4 linked regions of the Rattus norvegicus genome follow. The protein of the gene in region 1 interacts with the protein of each later gene in a pairwise test. Links are inferred from orthologs where the notes say so. Each region holds a gene or a part of one and is shown on either strand. Other genes may lie near its edges.

What was found.
Region 2: the proteins of Ldoc1 (region 1) and Fam50b interact in binary tests that used the Homo sapiens proteins (3 or more experiments, as listed by UniProt). The two-hybrid records come from large-scale screens. The link is inferred for Rattus norvegicus from reciprocal best matches to the Homo sapiens genes LDOC1 and FAM50B.
Region 3: the proteins of Ldoc1 (region 1) and Dppa4 interact in binary tests that used the Homo sapiens proteins (3 or more experiments, as listed by UniProt). The two-hybrid records come from large-scale screens. The link is inferred for Rattus norvegicus from reciprocal best matches to the Homo sapiens genes LDOC1 and DPPA4.
Region 4: the proteins of Ldoc1 (region 1) and Nxf1 interact in binary tests that used the Homo sapiens proteins (3 or more experiments, as listed by UniProt). The two-hybrid records come from large-scale screens. The link is inferred for Rattus norvegicus from reciprocal best matches to the Homo sapiens genes LDOC1 and NXF1.

What each region holds. Positions count from the first base shown.
Region 1 is NC_086039.1:145,000,237-145,004,593, forward strand, and holds the start of Ldoc1 (protein LDOC1 precursor), read left to right. Parts: upstream 1-1,530; 5' UTR 1,531-1,606; intron 1,607-4,357. UniProt on the Homo sapiens protein: May have an important role in the development and/or progression of some cancers.
Region 2 is NC_086035.1:30,391,351-30,395,586, reverse strand, and holds the start of Fam50b (protein FAM50B), read left to right. Parts: upstream 1-1,401; 5' UTR 1,402-1,548; intron 1,549-4,236.
Region 3 is NC_086029.1:66,038,920-66,043,222, forward strand, and holds the start of Dppa4 (developmental pluripotency-associated protein 4), read right to left. Parts: upstream 2,836-4,303; 5' UTR 2,767-2,835; coding exon 2,743-2,766; intron 551-2,742; coding exon 433-550; intron 1-432. UniProt on the Homo sapiens protein: May be involved in the maintenance of active epigenetic status of target genes. May inhibit differentiation of embryonic cells into a primitive ectoderm lineage.
Region 4 is NC_086019.1:215,083,279-215,087,397, forward strand, and holds the start of Nxf1 (nuclear RNA export factor 1), read left to right. Parts: upstream 1-1,284; 5' UTR 1,285-1,352; coding exon 1,353-1,380; intron 1,381-4,119.

The sequences.
Region 1 (4,357 bases):
TGGAATATTACTCAGCTATCAAAAACAACGAGTTCATGAAATTCGTAGGCAAATGGTTGGAACTGGAAAATATCATCCTGAGTGAGCTAACCCAGTCACAGAAAGACATTCATGGTATGCACTCATTGATAAGTGGCTATTAGCCCAAATGCTTGAATTACCCTAGATCCCTAGAACAAACGAAACTCAAGACGGATGATCAAAATGTGAATGCTTCACTCCTTCTTTAAATGAGGAAAAAGAATACCCTTGGCAGGGAAGGGGGAGGCAAAGATTAAAACAGAGACTGAAGCAACACCCATTCAGAGCCTGCCCCACATGTGGCCCATACATATACAGCCACCCAATTAGACAAGATGGATGAAGCAAAGAAGTGCAGACCGACAGGAGCCGGATGTAGATCGCTCCTGAGAGACACAGCCAGAATACAGCAAATATAGAGGCAAATGCCAGCAGCAAACCACTGAACTGAGAATAGGTCCCCTGTTGAAGGAATCAGAGAAAGAACTGGAAGAGCTTGAAGAGGCTCGAGACCCCAAAAGTACAACAATGCCAAGCAACCAGAGCTTCCAGGGACTAAGCCACTACCTAAAGACTATACATGGACTGACCCTGGACTCTGACCCCATAGGTAGCAATGAATATCCTAGTAAGAGCACCAGTAGAAGGGGAAGCCCTGGGTCCTGCTAAGACTGAACCCCCAGTGAACTAGTCTATGGGGGGAGGGCGGCAATGGGGGGAGGGTTGGGAGGGGAACACCCATAAGGAAGGGGAGGGGGGAGGGGGATGTTTGCCCGGAAACCGGGAAAGGGAATAACACTCGAAATGTATATAAGAAATACTCAAGTTAATAAAAAAAAAAGAAATGAACAATAATTTGATTGCATAGCTTGATAGTAAAACAATTTTATTGTGCTGTTAGCCAAAATATTTACCTACAGTAAACATATAGTTAACATTTCCAACAAATTTACAAAATTATACAATGAGAAGTTAACCTCAACTTTAGAGTATTTTCATTTCTCTAATAATCACGTTGCCCTTCGGTTCTAATTCCATTTATTGTTTTTTGTTGTAGGATACGGAGCTGATATTATCTCTTCTAGTTTCTCTTGCTATTCATAGAGAGTGTAAACTATATCTTTATCTGTTAATCTGCTTGAAACTGAGCTACAAGTGGATAAAGGTCCTCAGCATAAAACCTGATAGTCTGAATCTGGTAGAGGAAAATATTTGGATTATACTTGAATTTACTGACACAGGAATGCATTTTCCCCAGTAGTTAATACATTAAATCCAATTAATACATGGTAACTCATGAACTAGACCGCTTCTGTAAAACAAAAGACACTACACTATCACTTAAGTAACGAGGCAGCCTTTAGAATGGGAAAAACTTTAACAATTATGTATGTGGGATGATGTCACTGGTGAGGCAGGTACAAGATAGAATGAGGCCTGTCATTGGACGAAAAGGAAGGATGGGCGGGAGAAAGTTTTGAAGGAAGAGGAGGAGACAGAAACGGAAGAGGGGAGGAGAGAGGAGCGAAGCCGCGGCAGAACAATTTGGAAGCCTGTGTTTAGATTCCACGCTGTACCTCAGCAGGTTATATATGTTCTTAAGGGATGGATGTGTAATGGGCTTTGTATGTTTAGGTGGGCAATTGTATTTTATCAATTGGATCAAAAATTATTGTGTTGTATCATCTTTCATGTGTAGATTTAAATGTAAGGAAGTGTGGGGCGGCTTGTCTGGGTCGACATGGAGTTGGGATGTGTGTTTCTGGCATGGAAACCTGCCTTGGGACCTAGATAGGTAGAGAGATTTCTTCCAGGCTCAGAGAGGCCTTCGGCAGTGTGATATGGGATGCAGCAGAGCAGGTGAGACGCTTTGCTGACTGAGTTTGGGATATCTATCAGATATCTTGGGGGTACTGTGGTGCCGGACCTAGAGAGGGTATAAGACAGCATTTTATTTTTATAATTTTCAACAACATATATATCTGACACGTTAATATTTAGAGTAAACAAGGAACTACACATCAAGAAAACAAACAATGTAAGTAAAAAATGGGGCGTAAAATTAAACAAAGAGCTCTCAAAAGATGAAATGAATATGACGGAGACATTTTGTTAAATGGTCAACATCCTTAGCCATTAGGGAAATGCAAAGTAAAACTACTTTCAAATTTCCTCTTACTTCAGTCAAAATGACTAAGATACAAATAGCAAGTGATGACAAATACTTGTAGGGATTTGGGGAAAGGAAGCACTTGTTCACTACTTGTTGAAGTTATTCATCAGTGTGTTCACTGTGGAATTAGTGTAGAGTTCCTCAAAACACTGGAAATTAATCTACTGCTTGGGCATATACCAAAAGAACCCTATATCTTACTAAAGAGACACTGTCTCATTCATGTTCAATGCTTCTGTATTTATGATAACCAGAAATGGAAACTCCCAGATGTCCATCAACCAATGAATGGATGGTAAAAATATAATACATTTATACAATGCAATACCATTCACCCATTGAATACTAAAGTTGAATTTTTCAGGTAAATGCATGTATTTGAAAACAATCATTCTGAATGATGTAAAACAGACACCCTCCTCCCCAAAGGACAAATGTTGATTGCTTTTACTTGTTGCAGATGCTAGTTTTGCATCTTCAGATTTGTGTATTTATTTTGAAATGCCCATGGAAGTCAGGAAACTAGTAAGGACATATGGTGGGGCATAGGATGCTTTTAAGGGACCAATTAAATGATGCAATCATTTAAAGGGAGAAAAGGGAATAGTGAAATAGGAGGAATGAATAAGGTGGGAGATGGGTAAACTGGTTAGAAGAATATATACATAGAACAATAACAAAAGATCTATGTACAAAGTCATATGGAAACCTATTCCCACATATATTGGAGCTGTTAGCCAGTGAAGTCCCATAGACCTCCAACTATTAAATGCTATTGATATTGCTCTTGGTTATCCTCCAGAACTTGACAGTAAGACCTTATTTCTGATGACACCGCATACTTGAGTCATAGAACAGAAAGAAGTCAAACTGGTATCCATCTGATAGCTTCATTCTTACTGGATAAATTCCATGTTGCTGAAAGGTGCTATGTACGTTAACAGAATGGAAAAATAATCAGTAACTAACTCAGTTGTACAATGGTGGCATGGATATTTTAAATGTAGTAAACTATTTTTTTTCATTTAAGGCCTGTTCCACAAGATGAAACACATAACTAGCACAATTATTGAGGGCAAGAACTTTTGATCAGGTAATTCATAGTCCCTAGGGAAGAATTTGCTATTATTATTCTGCTAAATGGACACAGTGTTAGTATAAAACTTAGCACTATGCTAGTAGATTTGTGGGTAGTTCAACCCTCATCACCGTCATCGGAGTAGCTTCTTTTTGAAGTAAATGGTGCTAACATAAAGAACTAAAAGCAGCTCCGGTGCACTAGAGTAATAAACTACAGAATTCTCAGCCCAAATATGATAAGTGAATCATACCTCTTCACCCAAGTCAGGGATTATTGCAGAAGAAGGAGTGAAAAAGAATGTTAGAGCTTGTCAATGTGGATAAGGACAAAGAAACAGTACTTTCTGGGAACAACTATGTGGTTTCACATGAAACCCACAGTCACTGAATGTATACAACCCGTGTAAGTTCAAGCCCAACAGAATTTCACCACGGGGAGAAGAGGTGGGTATATTTCACATCTATGTGAAGACGATTGTCAGTTGATGGCTTCTAAAAAAGGAAGCATCAGTTTTGCTTAAGGGTGTGGCTTAAAGTCTAATGGATGACCCTATACCCAAGAATATAAAGATAACCCAAAGCAGACTGGATGAGTTAAAAACAAAACACAAAACCCCAAACACAAAACCAAACCAAAACCCCACAAAGTTCGGTGGGCAGGACAAAGGGCATGAATCTGGATGGTTTTAGAAGAGACAGTGGTGAATATGCTCAACTTGTATGAACTTAAATAACTAACAAAAGTACTTTAAAAGAAAATGGACATATACAGTATGATGGTATTTTTTTTTCCTGCCATTTTCAGTTTGTATAATTTTCCATTCCAGCATCAGTGTGTTAATGCCAATTCTGTGTGCCCTTACTGGCACGTGACATTTTCACATTTTCCTTACTATTTTCTTGTTTATCTGGCAGGGCTGTATCTCGAAGTTTCACCCTCTTTTTTCCTAGAACTTCATGATATTCTGCATCTTCACCAGTGATTTCTATTGGTGCATTTTCTCTTTGGAAATGTTGGTTCACATATTTTTTCATGTTAAATTCTATTTTCTCATTATTCAATGTTTAAAGTTTTTCATGTAC
Region 2 (4,236 bases), on another chromosome or scaffold:
TACGAGTGGATAAAGTCTAATTGGGATTGATCCTATACGATAATGCTTCGATGGAATTGCATCTGCTTCCCCACAAGCCGGGGTCTGTAGTCTCTCAATAGTAAGACCCCTCCCCAGGATGGCAGTGTAACACTAAAAGGCCATGGGCCATCTATCCATGTCTTGTGATGAACTTAAAATTTGATTTGTGAAAACATACTCTTGCCTGAATCCTAACCCTGTCCAAACCAAAGGGGCAAGAAAGTCTCAGCTTGCAAGTGTTCAGATGGAAAACAAACAAAACAACCCTGGGGCTTAAAATACTCCTGTGACCTCCTTAAACAGTAAGTGTGTTTTACTGTCAGTAGGCGAACCCAGCATAGACCCTTAGACCTCAGGCAATACGACGTCTACTCTGTCACACCGAACTCTAATCGCCAGGTGCAGAAGGTCAGAGCCCTGGTGATTTGTGATGATCGAACTTCGATGCATTGGTTCTAAATGGGGAACTGAAAATGAAACTGTGTCAGGGAATATCTTTACCATGACACCTAGAGTTGCTGATATTAACAGTATCTCAGAATCATGCAGTCAAATGGTACAATGTTTATTGTGCCTGCAACCTATAAAACATTTAGGACCTAGAGCAGGAAAAACGGAGGTGCTGTCATAGCAATGAGCTAGGTGACCTAGCAAAACCCCATCTGTTTATGAGGAATAATCCCCATTCATCTGTGATGAATAAATTATTGTCAACTTGATTGGGTTGAGAAGCACCTGGGAGATTACAAAGCCTACCTCTGGGTGTGACTATGAGGGCATTTCCCAGAGAGGATTAATTTATGTCAGAGGGGGAACTGCCCTGACCTACAGGCTGGAGAACCTAGAGGGAATTAAAAGGAATAGGGCAGGAGACTGATCACAGTGTAGGCCTTCCCTCTCTGCTTCCTCACCGCCCTAATGGGACCTGTTCAGCTTCACCTTAACCTACCTGCCTTAATGGGCAGACCTCTGAACCTGTGGGCTCAATAAATCTTTCCTCCTTTGAAGTAATTTATGCCAGTCATTCTGGGATGAAAAATTAACTCACCGTTCTTATCTAGTCACCCTGCAGTCCTGCTAAATAGATCCCTGGTCTGTGAAACTCTTGCACAGAGAAATTGCTGAATCCCAGCAAAAATGTGCACTTTGCCAAAGGCCCTCGGGCAATATTTGAAATGCAGTCAACTCTTAGCTGCAAACCCTGGGAACATGGTGACTGTGGTTGGTGATCATAGGGATAATTTCAGGATTACAAAATGTAAGAAGCAGCTTCTGTTGCTTAGTTTTTCATCAGTGTGTCCCAATAGCAGCAACAAAGGGATGGGAGAACTCCTTTCGGTTCACAGTTTCAAATTCAGTCCATGCTCACTTGGTCTCACTTGCTTGAAAAGGACATCATGGCAATGGGAGCATGTGGTAAAGAAAGCTATTCCCTTCATGGCCGGCCAGAAGGCAGAGCAAAACTGGAGAGGGGTGGATATAACATACCCACTAAGGAACCAACCCCAGTTACCCTACTTCCTCCAGGTAGGCCATATCTACTAATGTTTCTCACAAATGGAAACCGAACTTTCAATATACACGTCTGTGGGAGCACTTCTTCATGTCACCTGTTTAGAATTTCAGGATCCTTAGCATCACAGTTCTGTCAGGGAGGCCAAGGTGTGTGATCACTTAAAGCACATAGGCCAGTCCTACCTAACCCATGGGTGACTAGAGATAATCCTTTGGCTTGGCAGAAATTCTAGTTAATTCTTGTTACATTACAATACAGTAAAACACAGCTCTATTTCAATAAACTCTGAAACTCAGACATCTTATGAGTAGTGTGTGGAAGAATGGTCTTCCTGTGTCAGAATGGGCACCTCTGCTTGTCTTAGGGAAGCATTTGGGGAGATAGGTGTCATCCCCATTGACATCAATGGTATAACTATGTCTCAGCATACACCATGGATGGGGGCAAGCACCCTGGCTGATACTGCCCATTTGTCTTCCTGTAGTCTCTGAGATTATCAATGTTCTACTGGGTAAATTTTCTTCTGTTGGCACTATAAATTCACATCACACTGAGAAAATACTATTTTTAGAAATTTTAGCTACAGAACTGGAGTTGTAGATTAGTGGTCTAGACATTGCCTTCCTTGAGTAATGGTCAGGGTTTCGTCCCTAGTACTGAAAGAGAGAAGACAGTAAGGAGAGAAAGGGGGAGGAGAGCAGAGGAAGAAAGAAAAATGGGGAAGGAAGAAAGGAAGGGAGAGAAGGAGAAAGGGAGGAACATTAATTATGGTTACTTAAAATTGCCCATCTTGGGCTGGAGAAATGGCTCAGCAGTTAAGAGCACTGGCTGCTCTTCCAGAGGTCCTGAGTTCATTCCCAGCAACCACATGGTGGCTCACAACCACCTGTAATGAGATCTGATGCCCTCTTCTCGTGTGCAGCTGCACACGCAGATAGAACACTCATAGATATTAATAAATAAATATTTTTTAAATTGCCAATGTTAAAGGAAGTTCAGTATTTAGATGGGAATTTCAAAACAACTCTAAAATAGCTTGAAGCAAACCATAAATCTAAGTGGAGAACTATAAAACTTTTAGATGAAATCATAAGAAACCAATTTTATGACCTTGGTTTAAATACCAAAAGCATGGTCCATAAATAGACAACTGATAAGCTGGACTTTGTCAAGATTAAGACTTTTTCCTCTAAAATTGACACCTACAAGCCTAAAAGAAAGGTTAGAAAACCTTGTAGGCCATATGCCACGTGAAAGAATTACACTCAGACTGCAATAGGAACTCTCAACACTATCAAGTAGAACGGTAAAACACCATGCAGTTAAAAAACTATAAACTGTCAATTTTCAGAAATTTCCATTTCATATTTTCTGGACTGTTGAGTCCACGTAACTTATCTTTTTTATTAAAAAATTTATGTAGAGAGCTTTGCCTATGTACATACCTACAAGTGCCTGTAGAGGCCAGAGAGGTGTTGACTCCCCTGGAACTGGAGTTAGAGATGGTTGTGAGCTGCTCTGTGGGTGCTGGGAATGGAGCCCAGGTCCTCTGCAAAAGCATTAAGTGCTCTTAACCACTGAGCTATCTGTCCAGCTCCTGGGTGCATTTAATTGAAACTGAAAGGCAAAACCCAGGATGAGAGAGAATGGCTGTGCCTGATTGTGCACATGTCAAATCCATAGCATTGCACACCAGAAAGAGGTCATCTTACTGTAGTAAATTTTTAAGAATTGTTGTTCTGGGCTTCCGTATGTGTGTTTAGGTGGGTGGGGGATCCCACGTGCTTGCCACAACAGTCATGTGGAGGTCTGAGGGCAATCCTAGGGGCTAGGCTTTGCTTTCCACCTTGAGCCAGAATCTTTCTTCTTGTTTCTACAGCTGCATTGGCTGCAAACATCAGGTGAGCTGGCCTGCAAGCTTCACCGGTGGAGGAAGGGGGCTGTCTGTCTCTGCTTCCCTTCTCGCTGCAGGAATGCTGGGTTAGAGACCTGTGCCATTCTGTCTGGCTTTTGACGTGAGAATACAAACTTGGGTCACCAGATCTTCACCTGCTGAGCCATCTCCCCTGCCTTCACTATACTTAACTTTTTTTTTAATTTTATTTTATTTATTTATTTTTATTATTAACTTGAGTATTTCTTATATACATTTTGAGTGTTATTCCCTTTCCCAGTTTCCGGGCAAACATCCCCCTCCCCCCTCCCCTTTCTTATCGGTGTTCCCCTCCCCACCCTCCCCCCATTGTCCCCCTCCCCCCAACAGTCTAGTTCACTGGGGGTTCAGTCTTAGCAGGACCCAGGGCTTCCCCTTCCACTGGTGCTCTTACTAGGATATTCATTGCTACCTATGGGGTCAGAGTCCAGGGTCAGTCCATGTATAGTCTTTAGGTAGTGGCTTAGTCCCTGGAAGCTCTGGTTGCTTGGCATTGTTGTACATATGGGGTCTCGAGCCCCTTCAAGCTCTTCCAGTTCTTTCTCTGATTCCTTCAACGGGGGTCCTATTCTCAGTTCAGTGGTTTGCTGCTGGAATTCGCCTCTGTATTTGCTGTATTCTGGCTGTGTCTCTTAGGAGCGATCTACATCCGGCTCCTGTCGGTCTGCACTTCTTTGCTTCATCCATCTTGTCTAATTGGATGGCTGTATATGCATGGGCCACATGTGGGGCAGACTCTGAATGGGTGTTCCTTCAGTCTCTGTTT
Region 3 (4,303 bases), on another chromosome or scaffold:
CAGACAGACAGACTGTAGAGATAGTAAGCACCGCTAGAGCTTATGCAGATACCACCCCTCCCGCCACGCACGCGCGCACACACGCACAGCTCTTCTCAAGACTGGGGTCATCCCCACTTAGTTTTAGGATAACAAGTGCAAACTGTTCTCGTTGCCTATTAGCCTCAAAGCACAGGGACTACCCGAGGTAAGTACGTCACGGGAGTTTAATAATGGTAAGAACTGGCTGTGGCAGCAGGAAGCACCTCACTTGACTGTGTTCTGTTGTTGTTTAATTGTTTGTTTTTAATGAGGTAAGAACCTAGCTAGATCTCAGACGAAGTGCAGAGCTAGCAAAAAGCAGAAATTACTCTCGTCCCCAACCCCTGTTTTTACACTTAAGGGAAACTTAAGTTTCTTAGACGATTAAGACTTGAGCATCTCCAGACTTACCGTCATCTTTCTCTGACTTTCTTTGTTTCTTCCCCGTTGCTTTAGTCTTTGCAGAAGACGTGCTCGGTTGGCTAGACATCTGGCATTCCACTTCTTCCCTTGGCTCCTCTGCACGCCCCTGTGGACAGGGGAGTGGGTTACAGAGTTGCCTGATGTCCTGAGACAGCATAGCCCTTCACTTGCTCTAAACTAACTCATATCTAAGGTCCCCAGGAGGTCAGCGCACGTGTTTACCAGTGTGCATTCTCATGGGACATCATTTGAATAACCAACCTGAGTTATAAAGTAGGGAAGCAATGGTCAGGGAAAGAGAGGGAGTCAAAACGAAAAGCAGGCTTAGCGCCACATGACTGTAACCCTAGTAGTGGCTAAAATCAGGGCCAGGCCAGCCCAGGCTTGTAGGGTTTTTCTCTACATAGCCTCCCTGGCTGTCCTGGAACACAGAAGTACCCCAGTCTTCTTCTTAGACCCACCCACTGTGGGACTATCTTAAAGGAAGGAAGAAAAACATTGCAGTAGCTGTAATCTTAGCACCTAGGCAGTGAATGCAGGTGTGGGGGGGTGGGGGTCACCAAGGGCCAACCTTTGGCTACAGGATAAAACAAATGAAATAGCTATGAACAAAGCAACAGAAGATAATGAAAACTACCCAAGAGTAGTTCCCTCTTTGGGGAAGAAAACCTTACTCTATCTTCTCATATCCCAAATATTTTCCCCCAGTCCTTGGTTCTAGGCTCACCCAAAGACTTTGTAGCCAGGGTGATGTACCAAAGACATTGTACCACTTCCATGGCTGACTTCCCTTCAGAGCCTCTCAGACATGGCCTAGGGACACTTTCCAATTGTGACAACAGCCTGGTGACATGTTAACACCGACCGATCTCTTCTTCAGTTCTTATACCTGACTCCCATCCAAGTCTTAATTCAAAGGTTATTTTGCCAAATCTCTATAAAATCTACCACATATTACCTCATTTCCACTTGTCAATTGATTCCATCTGATTTTAAACTCCACAAGAGTGGAGCCCCTTCCCCTTTTATTGCGGGCAATGGATAATAAATATTCTGCTTAATTAAGGGAACAGAGATTACAAAAACAAAACAAAAGCAACAACAACAAAACTAGAAACGATCCCTAAGCACAGAAAAAACAAACAGGCAAAAAAACCTAACAAGTATTAGGCCTCTTCTAGAAGATACAAGACTAAACACACTCCTTCCCTTTATATAATTTCCTAACTACTACTGTATTTTCAGGACCAAAAGTTTAAAGCTTATTAAGCTGGGTGGTCATGGCACATGCCTTTATCCGAGTTCGAGGCCAGCGTGGTCTACAAGAGTGACTTACAGGACAGCCAGGGCTACAGAGAAACCTTGTTTCAGAAAGAAACAAAATCAAACAAAAAAGCCAGGAGAGGTGGCATTGGGGAGGAAAACCAGCCCGGTTCACAGGACAAGTCCCAGGCCACCCAGGGCTACAGAGAAATCCTGTCTCCCAAAAAACAAAAAACAAAACAAAACAAAACAAAAACTCATTAAATAAATAAGTAAAAACACTAGGTCACTTCGCTGGAAAACCCAGATCTTTTCCAACCCCCACCTTCCCACCCCCCGCCCCCGCAAGAGTGGGAGTAAGTGACAAATTAACATTTGCCTGTTACTAGACACCTCGGTACTTTTTTATATCACAACAGGAACTAGCTTCAGAAGGACAATAAGACTTATATTCGCCTCTTTATAAACTACTCACTTTTGGACCTAACAAAATTTGTACACTAGAGAAAGCTGGAAACGGCTGGAAGGAGCCCTGGAAAGTGCTCAGGATTCTGGCTACTACAGTTAGTTAGGAACCAGCAGAGCCTGTCAGTCAGGTCTGTCTTCTCAAACCTCCTCAACTCTGAGGACCTTTGGATATAAACAAAAGGCCTAGAAGCCAGGTAACAGGCATTTCTGAGTTAAGCCCTCAGGTCTTCTCCCGGCCATTGGGGACTCCAGTTCCTTCCGAGGCTCGGTTCATATCCTGTTTTATCCTGTGACCATTTCCCTCCAGCTACCGCATTCTAAATTCCTTTCTGGCAAATCACAACCTCCTCTCCTAACACATCTACAACCAGGCCCGCGGGCCTCGTGCAAGGCCACGTCAGAGAGGGCGGGCGGAGCCACACACCTACCTACCTTAAAAAAAAAAAATTAAAGTGTAACAAATTGTAACGCTCCTTCTTTTCTTCCCCAAACAAGGCTGGGTATACTCCAAAAAAGAGGCCCTAGACTGACTAGTTTGGAAAGCCGACTTGTAAAAACAGGTCTCACCTTCTTGCTTCCAGACGGCTCCATCTTGAATTTAGATGAGACCTCCGAAAGAAAGTTCTCCTAGCTTCCAAATGACCTATGGCCTCCTTCGGCTTTTAAAAGTCTCCTCCTACTTCCTGTTGTCTTGAGGCCCTCTTCCGTTCCCCTCCCCTCCTGGTCCCACCCCCAACAAAATTGTGATGCTAAAGTCTGGTTTGTGGCTAATTTTAATAAAGCCGCTATTGTGTGGTTTGATTATTTTTGCTTTTTTCCTCTGAATTTCTTTTTTTCTTTTTCTTTTTGGAGGCAGGGTTGCCTGGCCTGAAATGCTTTATATACCTATGTTTATTGTACTGTCTGGGACTCGGGAATACAGAGATTTAAAGGAGCGAGCTGCCACGCCCTACTCCTGGCAACTGTAAATCTGGGAAATTTTAAACTGTAACTATTGCTGGGCGTGGTGGCGAATGCCTTTAATCCCAGCATTCGAGAGGCAGAGGCAGGTGGATCTCTCTGAGTTTTCTGGCCAGCCTGGCCTACATGGTGGGATTCTGTCTTTAAAAAAAAACAAAACCCAGCTCCGAAAAAAAAAAGAACCAAAAAAAAAAAAAAAAAAAATAGGAAAGGAGGGAGGGGGGGAGGGATCGAGGGAGGAAGGAAGGAAGGAAGGAACCTCTAAATATTGCTAAGGGAAAGTGAAGTTCCTAGAGAATTCTGAACAAGCTGTATAAGCAGATTGCAAATTTACCTAATGGAATTAGCAACCTGGACAGGAATGAAAACAACCCATTTCTTGTGACTCCAGAATTCTTTTACTATAAGACCACAGGGGGGTTGTATTGTTTCTGTGGTTTTGGGCTCTCGCAGGACTTTGTTTCTGCATACTAATCAGTCTACCACTGAGCTACAATCCCAGCCCACAAAATTACAACTTTTGTAAATCCTCCCCATCCAACCCTCCTTTTTTTTTTTTTTTTTTTTTTTTTTAAGTTCTCCATAATAGAAGTCCCTAGGGACCCAGAGCACTCTGAGATTTTCCTGTCTCTGACTCCTGACTGCTAAGATTCAAGGTGTGCCCCCTCACGCTGGGCCTGGGCTTGAGTTTCTGATCTTCTAGCCTCCTCAGGATTGGAACTCTGGCCACCAAGCCTGGCTTCAAACCTTAACTTTCTATCTGCCAACTGTTAAAAGGTTTTGTTGGTGCTAGTTGGTTTCTCTGTGTAGCCTGCTATCCTGGACCTGGACCAGGCTGGCTTTGAATTCACATAGATCCTCTCGCCTCTGCCTCTAGAGAGCTGGGACTAAAGGCATGTACTGCCAGCAGACTTTTTTTTTTTTTTTCCCAATAAAAAGTTTTTAAAGTCTACTGAATATGTAGTGAATTCTGGCAGTAAAATTCAGTCACTGTTTTGCAAATGATGATGATTTGTGGGAAACTATACTGGTAACTTGCTTGCCCAGTAAGTGAACATTAAGCTTGACTCTCTATTATGATGTCAGAGGATGCCCTCAGCACCACCATCTCCCACAAAAACAAACAATCAAAAACCAAACCGATCAACAAAACCAAACAACCAAACAA
Region 4 (4,119 bases), on another chromosome or scaffold:
TACTAGAAGAGCTCTTGGGTTTGCCATCTAAAAATTTCAACCAGCACTTGGGAGTTAGAAGCAAGTGGATCTCTTTTATTATTATTATTATTATTATTTTTTTTTTTTTTTTTTTATTCCGGAGCTGGGGACTGAACCCAGGGCCTTGTGCTTGCTAGGCAAGCGCTCTACCACTGAGCTAAATCCCCAACCTCGCAAGTGGATCTCTTGAGTTTGAGGCCAACTTGGTCTACAAAGCAAGTTTCAGGACAGCCAGAATTATACAGAAACCCTGTCTCAAACAAAACCACTCAATACTAGCAACTTTCCCTACCTACCTAGCTAACCTGGGTTTTACCAATTAGGCTTCAGCATGATGGCCAGGGCCTTGGGGGTGAAGATCATAGCTCACTAGATTACTAATTTTGTTTTGAGACCGTCTATGTAGCCTTCGCTATCTCTGTACTGGCTATGTCGACAAAAATACTGGTACTAAGACTAAAGCTTTTTTTTTTTTTTTTTTTTTGAGGCAGGGCCTCTACAAGCTCTGGCTATTCTAGAAATTTCTATAGAGCTGAGACTGGCCTCAAATTTAAAGATCCACCTGCCTCTGCCTTCCAAATACGGGTTTAAAGACCTGCGCCACTACAGCTCGCCTGACGCTTTAATTAGGCAATTTGTAGAAGACCTACAAGGGAACAGGACAGGATTTCGCTTAATTCACACTTGGGTTTCACAATGGGCATGATACTGTGCCAGGCACGCTGGAGGAAGAAAAGTTGCGCATAAGTTAAGGTTCCTGTTCCAGTGGGGCTTACATTCCAATTTTCTATTTCGTCATAATCCGTCGTAGAGGCGAGAAAGGCTGGGAGGGCATAAGCCGGCGGCTGGCAAGGAACTGCGCTGCGACTTACACGCTGCCGGGATCCCACCTGCGTGGACTGTGATCCGTTACTCCCGTTCAGAGGCCAGGTCTCCATTCTTCTGTGTAGCTCTCGTCCCTGCTCCTGAGTTCAGGGCTAAAGCAGACCGCTCAGCTCCAGCGCAAACCTCAGCGCTGCGGGCCAGCGGAGAAGTAGGAAGGCGGGGCCGACCTACAAGCCATCGCGCCCCGAGCTCCGGCCGTGGGCGGGCCTCGGAGGGCCTGGCCACGCCTCCGAGCGGCCGCCCTGCTTCTGCGCAGGCTCAGAGAGCGCGTTCCTGCCCCGCGGCACCGCCCACATCCTGGGGACGTCGGCTGCGCGCGACGTGCTTCGCCGGATAAATGCGGTGGCGCCGGTCGTAGGAGAGCTTCTGTCCTGAGCGCCAAGGCGTCCGGGTGTTTGGTGGCGTCAGGTTCTGCGCCTGAGCCCGCCCCTGTACCTGCCTGTGCCATGGCGGACGAAGGGAAGTCATACAACGGTTAGTGCGGGGCCTCGGGCCGGGAGGCGACGCGGTGGGTCAGGGTGGGCGGCCCCGGCCTAGGCCTCAGCCCGGGGGCGGGAGGCCGCGAGGAGCCCTACGTCCGTAGGTAGCGGTGGCCGCGCGGGCAGGGGGCGCGGGACGCCGCGGGACCCGGGGACTCCAGAGTCGCCCGGATTCTGGCGTTGGAGGACCTGTGGCTCAGGGGTGAGGTGACAAGATTTCCTTTCAACTTTGAGGGTGGTTGATGCCTGTCAGTTCAGTTTGGCAGCCGGACTCTTCCTTTAAATGTGAGTCAGTAGTCAGGCTACCCTGGTGCCCTATTTTTTTTTTTTTTTTAAATACGATCAGTCTGTTCTTGCAGCTTGCTGCTTATTGTTTACCCAGTTTTCTAGCCCGCACACCTACCCTGACTTGTTAATTCATTGTGGTGGTTAGGACAGTATGACAGCTGAGGTTTGAATCTGAAGTTGGCTGTGCTAACCCCGAGTGAGTTAAACTTTGAGGCCTTGTTTTCCATCTCTTTCATGTGGGTACTTGTCTCCCGTGTCCCGTGTGTGTGTGTGTGTGTGTGTGTGTGTGTGTGTGTGTGTGTGTGTGTGTGTGTGTGTGAGAGAGAGAGAGAGAGAGAGAGAGAGAGAGAGAGAGAGAGAGAGAGATCATTTTATTAAGTGCCTCAAACACAGTGACTGGAGTGGGGATTTTTCAGTGAACCGTACTTGGACTGTCTCTTTAATGTATTCCTTTTTACTAGGGTCACTTGATATTAGGTATTAGATACTAGAAATTAGGTAGATTTCTTTGAAAGTTATGAATCTTTTTTTGTGCTTGTGTGGTGCTGATGACTTATCTATGCCTGAAAAATCTCTACCCAATGACCTTTTATTTTAATTCAAATATAATTGATCTCCTTCCTCCAGCCACTCACCTGTCATCCACTCCTCTCGCCAAATTCATGCAACTTGCTGAGTTCATTTAGTGTTATGTATTAGTTTGTAAAGCATACCATTTGGGATTGGCTAGCCATTTGGGGAGTTTGTCCCTTGGAAAGGCTAATTCTCCCTTATAGGGTCAGCCCAGGCTGGCTTCAGTCAGTCTTACTGTGTCAGCTTCCCAAGCTCAGCATTGCAGGCAGGCATGTGCCACCCACCATGCCTGCCTCACAGATGTTTACGGTTTACTTTTTTTTTTTTTTTTTTTTTTTTTTTGGTTCTAGGGTTGAACTTAAGGTCTGACAAAAGGTAAATAAATAGAACCAAGTGTAGTAGTACATTGTTTAAGGTAAGAGGATCAGAGAGGTTCAAGGTCATCCTCCACTACATACATAGTGTGCCCGGCTTTCTGTTCTCCCACAGAGCTATATTCCCATCCCTTGTTATTTTTTTGAGATGGTTTGCCAAGTTGCCCAGACTGACTTGAAGTTTTGAATTCTGCCTCAGCCTCAGTCTGGGTGATCTTTTTGAGTGTGGAAGGATAGACAAGCACTTTATCAACTAATCAGTATCCTTAGCCCTCCTTTTATTCGTTTTGTCTATATATAGGCAGACCAAACACTAAGAGAAACAGGGTTTCAATCCCAGTCTGGCCTTAAACTCTGTGTAGCTCAGATCCTCTTCCCTTAAACGGTGTACTACTACACTTGGTTCTATTTATTTATTTATTTATGTATTTGTTTACTGAAACAGTGTCTCAAAGTGTAGTTCTGAATGATCTAGAACACACTGAAAAGACCAGGCTGGCTTTCAGAACTCTGCCACTGTCTGGAATTAAGTTGTGGGTCACAATGTTTGGCTTCTTTCCCTTTTTTTTTTTTTTTTTTTTCTTTTTGGTTCTTTTTTTTCGGAGCTGGGGACCGAACCCAGGGCCTTACGCTTCCTAGGTAAGCGCTCTACGACTGAGCTAAATCCCCAGCCCCGCTTCTTTCCCTTTTTAAGGTATACTCTTAGCTGATCTGGAACTTGGATTCCTCCTGCTTCAAACACTAGTTATATTGGAGGACTCTAATGTGGAACCTGCACCAGACCCTGAATCTAGAAGTTCCTTGAGGTGTTTTTTTTTTTCCCCAAAGAAACTAGCATTTCCTAAATTCAGAGTGCAGAAGATGGTAGTTGTTTTTAAGAGACTTTACATCATATTTGTAAGAATTCTTTATTTTTCGAGAATCTCATGTAGCCCAGGATGGCTTTGAAAACTTTGTGTAATTGAAGCCTCCCCTTCCCAATTGCCAGGATTACAGGTGTTGGCCACAACATCTGGCTCTGTAACCATCAATTGTACAGCAAGTGGCAGATTTCACGTGGTTTTTCAGGGGTCTGGTTAGATTTTGGGGTTGCTCACACTTCCACATTCTACTCTCTGTAGGAACTGGTTTCTGGGTATTTTTGTTTTTCTTTTTTCTTTCTTTCTTTTTTTTTTTTCCTTTTCTTTTTTTCAGAACTGGGGACCGAACCCAGGGCCTTGCGCTTGATAGGCAAGCGCTCTACCACTGAGCTAAATCCCCAACCCCTTTTTTCTTTAAATTCTAAATTTTCTGGCAATTTTATACATATAATACACAGTGTATTGTGATTGTGTGCCCCTTTCATTACTCTTTTGTTTTTACTTATTTACTTTGTTTACTTACTTTATTTAATGTATAAGTGCTCTGGTGCATGTACACCTGCATGCCAGAAGGGGGCATCAGATTCCTTTATAGATAATCTTGAACCACTGTGGGATTTGAACTCAGGACCTCTGTAA